Linked DNA regions of Macaca mulatta. The protein of the gene in region 2 purifies or fractionates together with the protein of the main gene of each other region. This does not show direct contact. Links are inferred from orthologs where the notes say so. Each region holds a gene or a part of one and is shown on either strand. Other genes may lie near its edges.

Evidence for each region.
Region 1: the proteins of PDS5A (region 2) and WAPL purify together in Homo sapiens (affinity purification with mass spectrometry; 6 studies listed by BioGRID and IntAct, with this or other methods). This does not show direct contact. The link is inferred for Macaca mulatta from reciprocal best matches to the Homo sapiens genes PDS5A and WAPL.

The regions. Positions count from the first base shown.
Region 1 is NC_133414.1:63,354,462-63,358,274, reverse strand, and holds part of WAPL (wings apart-like protein homolog), read right to left. Parts: intron 1,282-3,813; coding exon 256-1,281; intron 1-255. UniProt on the Homo sapiens protein: Regulator of sister chromatid cohesion in mitosis which negatively regulates cohesin association with chromatin. Involved in both sister chromatid cohesion during interphase and sister-chromatid resolution during early stages of mitosis.
Region 2 is NC_133410.1:39,196,181-39,200,093, forward strand, and holds the start of PDS5A (sister chromatid cohesion protein PDS5 homolog A), read right to left. Parts: upstream 2,922-3,913; 5' UTR 2,463-2,921; intron 2,433-2,462; exon of another isoform or gene 2,256-2,432; intron 1,616-2,255; 5' UTR 1,576-1,615; coding exon 1,438-1,575; intron 1-1,437. UniProt on the Homo sapiens protein: Probable regulator of sister chromatid cohesion in mitosis which may stabilize cohesin complex association with chromatin. May couple sister chromatid cohesion during mitosis to DNA replication.

The DNA.
Region 1 (3,813 bases), on a different chromosome or scaffold from region 2:
TTTTTGCATATACATACCTATGATAAAGTTTAATTTATAAATCAAGCACAGTAAGAGATTAGCAATGACTAAGAATAAAACAGAATAACAATATGCTATAATAAAAGTTATGTGAATGGGGTCTTTATCTTATCATACTGTACTCACCTCTTTTCAGAATGTGGTTGACCTTGGGTAATTGAAACCATAGAAAGTGAAACTGCAGGTAAGGGGGGGACTACTGTACTTACTATATATATTTTTTTAAATTCTTACCTGCATTGTTAGTACCAGACTGACTGTCCTGGGAATTATCATTGCTTTCTGGGGGAGGCTGCAAGGAGGGTGATGGAGCTGTTTTAGTTCTTTTTTTGCTTGTCTTTCTTTCCACTTGACAGTCATCATCTTCATCATCTTCGCTTTCACTGAGATCATCAAAGCCAAAATACTTAATTTTGTAATTAGAACTTCCAGAACCCCCTTCATCACCTCCTGTCTCATGATCTTCAAAACCAAAAAATTCAAGTTTAACATCCTTTTTGGATTTAGTATTACTAGGTCGAAATCTAGTAGTGGTCTTAGAAGTTGCAATGTCTGCCTTTTTTCTGAGACGACCAGCTTCTCCCAAATCTGCAGGAGTGGATGCAGTGAACTCATCCATGCTGCGTTCCATAGTATCCTGTATGGTAACATTACAAACTGACAAGCAAGATGGATGTAAAACAGTGTAATCTCTAGTCCGTCCAACTGTCCCTCTAAAACTGGTCCCACAACTTACACCGCCTTTCTTTGCCTGATTCAGGCCATCTTTACTCGATTCACTGTTTGCTTTGGCTAAGGCCTGACTGGTGCCATCCATCAGCTTATCAAAATTTGACGCTCCTTGGGAGGATTTCGCTTTATTGGCCCTACAGTACGTCCTACAGTTGGTTGGCCTAAGAACACTTTGTACAATATCTTCCTCAATGGCTTCATTCAGATTTTCCAATCGATTTTTAAAATCGTCATCCTTCATCTCCAAAAGGGGATCACTATCCAAACTTAAAATACAGTCTTCTGATCTGATATCTTCAAAATCATTATCCCATTCATACAAACCAGTTCTTACAGATCCCTTGATTGGAGATATTTCTGATGGTGATTCTGGCCTCTTCCCAAACTGGGAGTTCCAAGTATCGTTTGTTTCCTTGATTTCAGAAGCCACTGTAGTTTCTGCATTGGGTTTCTTAGTACTGTCGTCAGCATTTTTGTGAATATGGTGACTATTCTTCTCACGTTCTTCATGAAAATTCTCCACTTTATCTGTAAAAATAAGTCAAAGGATAAAAACATGAGTGGTATCAATATAAAAGTTAATAAACAACAGACATGTGGTTAATCAATAGTATATGATCAATCTCGAAAGAACTGCAAACAATTTTAGGTTGTGAAGAAATTAACGTTTACATATCAGACATTTTCTCTCCTATCTTTTCAGTATATAGCTCTCATGTCTTCTATTGACCTTTCCTCAGGCAATCAAGTCCCTTAAAATTATCAACTCACAAGAAATTTCAGCAGGGTTAAGCAACGGAATCCATTCAGAATGACATGCAAATGACTCAGCCAAACCTTCTTAGGGGTATTAAGGGCTTTTCAAATAAAGATGCTTAAATTAAAAATTATTCAGTAAAATCTAAACCAACCGAAAAACCTTCTACCAATGTTTTTATTTATTTGGGATAGGGCTGCCCATAAGGTATGCTAGTTCTATCTAGAAGCCTGCCCATAGGATCAGGTTTCTCTAGCTATTTCTGTTCTTTCTTCTAATCCTAAAAGCCATATAACCTCAAGGAATTTTTAGCAGTAGTTCTGGTGTGTTAGTTAAATGGCTAATAGTGGCTATTTATGCATATCAGCCAGTAACAAATCCTTGGCCTGCCTCTTCATCTTATATGTGGAGAATTCATTTTTGTTGCCTTCAATTTTTACTATTGGAACATTTTTATAACCTTTCCAAATGAGATACAAATATGATTCCAACTGGTATTATTATTAATTCCCTCAACACTTACTTGTAGAAAAACACTGGCAAAATGTATACTCTATGACAAACAATAAAATTACTTCTACAAAATATATCTACATTTAAGAAAATCTATTTACAAATCTCAATTAGTATCATCAAATACAGGTGAGAGGGATGCTTTACATGGACAGATTCACTATAAAATGTTTAATGCTACCCAATAGGTTTTCCTCCCCTCAAGACAGGACCTCACTCTGTTACCCACACTGGAATACAGTGGTGTGATCATGGCTCACTGCAGCTTCAGAGCCGAGCACAGTGGCTCATGCCAGTAAATCTCAGCACTGTTGGAGGCTGAGGCAGGAAGATCACTTGAGCGCAGGAGTCCCAGACCAGCCTGGGAAATTTAGCGAAACCCTGTCTCTTCAAAAAAATCAAAAATTAGCCTGGCGTGGTGAGGCATGCCTAGTCCCAGCTACTCAGGAGGCTGAGGTGGGAGAATTACCGAGTAGGAGGTCAAGGCTGCAGTGTGACATAATCAGGCCACTATAGATTGCATTCCAACCTGGGTGACAAGCAAGACTGTCTCAAAAAAAAAAATTTGAGCAGCTGTCACCAATGAAATTATAATGACATCAAGAATATACACATGAAAAATGCTTATCATGAGTTGCTAGGGAAACACAAAAGGTAAACTCCTTAATATACTAAGAATCGTTACATATCAGTAAATCCAATGTCCCAGTACAAAATGAAGCTAGGGGCCAGGCACAATGGCTCAGGCCTGTAATCCTGGCTCTTTGGGAGGCCGAAGTGGACAGATCACTTGAGACCAGAAGTTCGAGATCAGCGTGGCCAACATGGCGAAACCCTGTCTCCACTAAAAAGACAAAAAAAAAATAGCTAGGCGTGGTGGCACCTGCCACCCACTCCCAAGTCCTAGCTACTTGAGAGGCTGAGGCACAAGAATTGTTTGAACCCAGGAGGCAGAGGAGGTTCCAGTGAGCTGAGATAGAACCACTGCACTCCAGCCTGGGCAACAAGGCAAGACTCTGCCTCAAAAATAAATAAATCAGAAGCTAGGAACACAAAGAAGCAATTCATTAAAATACATATAATGAATTAAATAACTTATGAAGGATACTCAATTTCACTCACAAAACTCAAAGTAAAACAAAGCTGAACTATATTTATATAAGCCCTCAGTATACGCCTGGTACTATTCTAAATACTTTCCATTAATTTATCTCAAAGCAACCATCAGGTAGGTACTACTGCCATATTCATAATCCCTTTCCCACAATTCCAACATCCAAAAAGCTCTAAAAAGTAAAAAGTTTTCTCACAGCACACTTGGAAGCAAAACCCGACCCCAACCAAAGGGAGGCTGTTTATAGTATTTACCCTACTTAGGGAAGGTATTTTCTCCTCTGAAGAAACACTATATTTGAATAGAGAACACCACCTTAGATCCTGATAGGGGAGTTAATATAAACTTTCCAAAATCCAAAATAATTCTAAATTCTAAGACACATCTGGCCCCAACGATTTCAGATAACGAAATGTGAACCTCTATCTCATTCCACAGATAAAGGACAATGGGCTTACATTACTAGTTGTTGATTACATGGCTATTGAGTGGTATTTACTCTCTGAAAAATAAGGCAACTTATTAAAAAAAATTGGAAGCAACTTGAAAGTCTGACATTAATAAGGAATTGGCTAAGTAATGTATAGCACATACAGAAATTGACAACATGCAACAGTATTTTCTCAAAGGGTAGGGGGAGAGCCAAAAAGAAAACTGATATGGTATTATCCCCAAG
Region 2 (3,913 bases):
GGAGGCTGAGGCAGGAGAATTGCTTGCACCCAGGAGGTGGAGGTTGCAGTGGGCCAAGACGGCACCACTGCACTCCAGCCTGGGTGACAGAGCAAGACTCTGTCTCAAAAAAAAAAAAAATTAGCCAGGTGGCGCACGGTAGTCCCAGCTACTTGGGAGACCGAGGCAGAACAGCTTGAACCTGGGAAGTGGAGGTTGCAGTGTGCCAAGATCACACCACTGCACATAGATTTGTTTTAATGAAAGAAACTGTTGTCTTATTCCTTCCAAAAAGGCAACAAATTGCACAACCAAATTAGAGTTTGAAAACTAAACCACATGAACATTTTAAACACTGTACTAATTAAAATGCAACATTAGGTACATTTACTGGGCTCCAAGAGCAAGAGGCCAAGCTCATTCCCTAAAATACATTTCGCCAAGTCGCCCAAGATGGAAACATTGTCAACAATGTTGCTTCCCTCACCTCCCACCAATTCTGATTGATTCTAACTCTGAAAAGTTGTTAAATCATTTCCTAGTCACTATTATCAATGCCATAGCCCTATCTGAAGATTTCAACGTCTTTCACCTAGACTACTGTTCATAGTTTCCTAGCCGGACTCACTGCCTCTGGTGTTTCCCTACTCCAATCTAGCACCAATTGTGACAATCAAAATGTCTCCAGCATTGCCAAACATCTCCTGGAGGTCAAAGTTGCCCTGACTCAGAACCACTGCTTCAAGCTGATCCTACAAGAAGAGTATCACTTATTTGGTAAGATTCTGGCCACAATCTATGTCAGTGGAACAGAAACCAAAAAACCTTACAAACGTGAGGCTGAAATTTAAAACCTTAACCTTAGGACTGCCATGCTTAAACGAAATTAGCTGACACCTCATAAAAAGAGCCATAATACTCTTAAACTCCTTTGAACTATGTATAGACTTAAATCATCTTACTTTAAGCCTGAATTATGAAAAGTGTACCTTCTGTCAAAGTTTAACCACAATATATACATATTTAAGCTTCTGGACACTAGAAAATTATGCAAATTTTTAAAAAGGACTTTGCGCTTTAATCAGTCCTCCTCACAAGTTGAAAACAGGAAACTTCTTGGGCAAATTACTGCCTACACGTAAGTGTGCAAGCCACTCTGAACAGTATTCTCATTAAATACCTCCAGAAAAAACTCTAAAAACACACAAATTCTCATGCTTGAAAACCAGGAAGTTTTTGAAAAATCACACTCTTTTTAAATTTCCCACAATGGTTATGTCCTTACAAAGCTTACTCAAAGATAACTTATCTGAGATACAACAGTACCTTTCACAGGGCGTAAGAGATCTAAAAAACTTGGAACTCTAAAGGCCAGAACGAGCAGGGTAGCAATATGACAGGAGAAAGCACCTCCTACCAAAGACATCTGAAGAGCGAACAATCCGTCCAGACGCTTACCTTCAGGCGTTTGATCATCTCGTCAGTGGTGATCTTGTCGGTGATCTCTTTTACCCCCGGAGGGTAAGCGATCTTCCCGTCGGCACTCACGACGCCACAGAGGGCAGTGGCAGGCTTGGGCTGCGCGGTGAAGTCCATCCTGGGGGACAACTTTTGGTTCACAGTCCTCTACCGGCCTCTATCGGTCAGAAAACCAAAGTTCAGCGGGAAAGGGGCGACTTTGTAACCTCTTTTTTCATTTCAAATCTCTCTAATCTGGAAAAGGCCCTTTCTCCCCGGACGCCGGGGACCCGGCAGCGGCCTCGCCACCCGCTCTTTCCCAGGGCTCGAACCCCGCCGGCCCCACCAGCCCCAGCCCAGCCAGCCCCAGGCTCACGGGGCTCCTCGGCACCAGCAGCCGCGGCCGCGGGAGGCGCCGAACAGCGCCAGGAGTTTCCCATTCCGTCTTTCACAATGAAACCCAGCCCCGAGCACCAAGGTCCGAAGTTTGGCGGCCTCAGGAGGCCGGCAAGGACCCCAAGGCCCCCGCTCGGCCGTGGGGAAGCGCCCAGTCCCGCCCGGCCAGTCCCCTCCGGGAAAGCAGACGCGAGGCCTATACGGCTCGGCTTAGGCCGCAAAACTAGGGACCCAGCGGACCCACGCGCAGCGGCGGCTCCCGGGAACAAAACGCCCTTGCCCAGCCGAGCCTCGGACCCGGGGTAGTCCCCGCCGCACTGCCGCCCCTCCCCTGTTCCGCTCCCTCACCCCCGCGGGAGGGGAAAACAAGCCGCCCTCCACCCCGAGCCCCACGCCAGGAAGCGGCTGACGCGGCTCCGCACTTCACATTTTGTTCCTTCAACTTCGGCTGAGGGACCCCAGCTGCTTCTCTGGCCCCCGGCCGCTTGGCGCCTCCGGCACCGCCAAGGCCTTTCCGGCACCCCCGGGCGGCCCCACCGGGCCTCGGACCCGCGGCCCCCCTCCGGTCTCCTCTTCCGTCCCCTCCCTCCAGCAGCCTAGGGCGGGAGCCGAGCCACCGCCGCCTTTACCTCCTCCTCATGCGGGCGGAAGGTGCATCGAGCGCCCGGGCCTCTGTCAGGTGGTTGCGCCGCCGCCCCTCGTCGGGCTGCACACAAAGCGGCTCCGCGGGTCCCGCCGCCGCCGCCGCCCGCCCGCCCGGGAGCGGCGCTGGGGCTGGCGGTGCCGAGGAGGAGCAGCCGCTGCGGGGGGAGACTCGGGGCGAGTGAGCGCTGGGCGGGGAGACAGTGCCGCTCTCCGTCTGGCCGAGGAAGAGCAGCCTCGAAGGCTCCTCCGGGAACGTGTGCGCGTGTGTCCGCCCGGGACCCCCGCAGCCCGCCCGCACGCACCTCGCGCCGGCCCGGACCGCCGACTCGGACCCGGACGCCCCTCGCAGCGGCGCGCGCCCGGCCGTCCGTGCCCCGGGAGCTGGCCCTCGCGCACACACCGGCCGGTCACGCGAGCGGCGCGAGAGCACGCGAGAGCAGCGCGCGCTCCTCGCTCCCTCCCCTTCCTCCGCCGGCCGTGCATCCGCCTCCCTCGGGCCCGAGGCGGCCGCGCGCAGGGCGGACAGCGCCGCCACCCGGTTGGCGCCAATACCTGCCGCGCGGGGCGCCTCCGGGAGGACCCGACCGGAGAGGGCTAGAGGAGGAGGAGCCCGGGTGGCGGGAAGCGAGCCCAGGTTCCCGCGGCCCTGCGGGGGCACGCGGGGCAAACAGCGCTTTATTTTCGCAGCGGCGATGAGCTGGTGACTTTGGGGGGTCATCCTGAGGGACATAGACGGAACCGGTTGGGAGTAGTTAATTGCTCGGTGAAAATGAACTGATTTCTTCCTCAGGGAGAGATCTGGAAAGTCAAGGAAAGTTGTGCAACGGGGCACAGCGTGAGCGGCTCACTCTCGGGTCTTCTGACAGCACCCGAGTTGCCCACCGTCCTTAGATTTCTGAAGTTAATATTTTGAAAGCTGCAAAACATGAAAATAGCATTGGGTCGAGTCGTTCTCAAGGTATGATCTTTGGGCCACCAGGCCTCACAATCGCTTTGGGTACTGGCTGAAAACATAGGTTTCCAACTCCAAACATAAAAAAGCGAGGATCTCTGAGAGTGGAACCCAGAAATAAGCATTTATTAATTAGGTAGGTGATTCTTGTCAAAAAGGAAGAACTCATTTTTTTTAATGTTTTAAACCTACCAAGCATTAACGTTTTCTGTCATCCAAAGGAAAAAACTATCAGGTAAAAAAAGTGCACGCAGCAGTGTTTGAGCATTAATGTTTGTGAAATAAATGAACGCAAGAGCATACACTTACCTATTTTTTAAAAAATCAAGAGCATACACAAAATTTCCGAAGAGGAAGTTGAAAAAAGGATACAATAATATGAAATCGCATTCAGCTCTTGAAACTGACCACTACCATAGTTTAAAATGATATTCGTTTGTTTATTCAAATTATTCTTGATGGATATCCATTGGTCTATTTTTT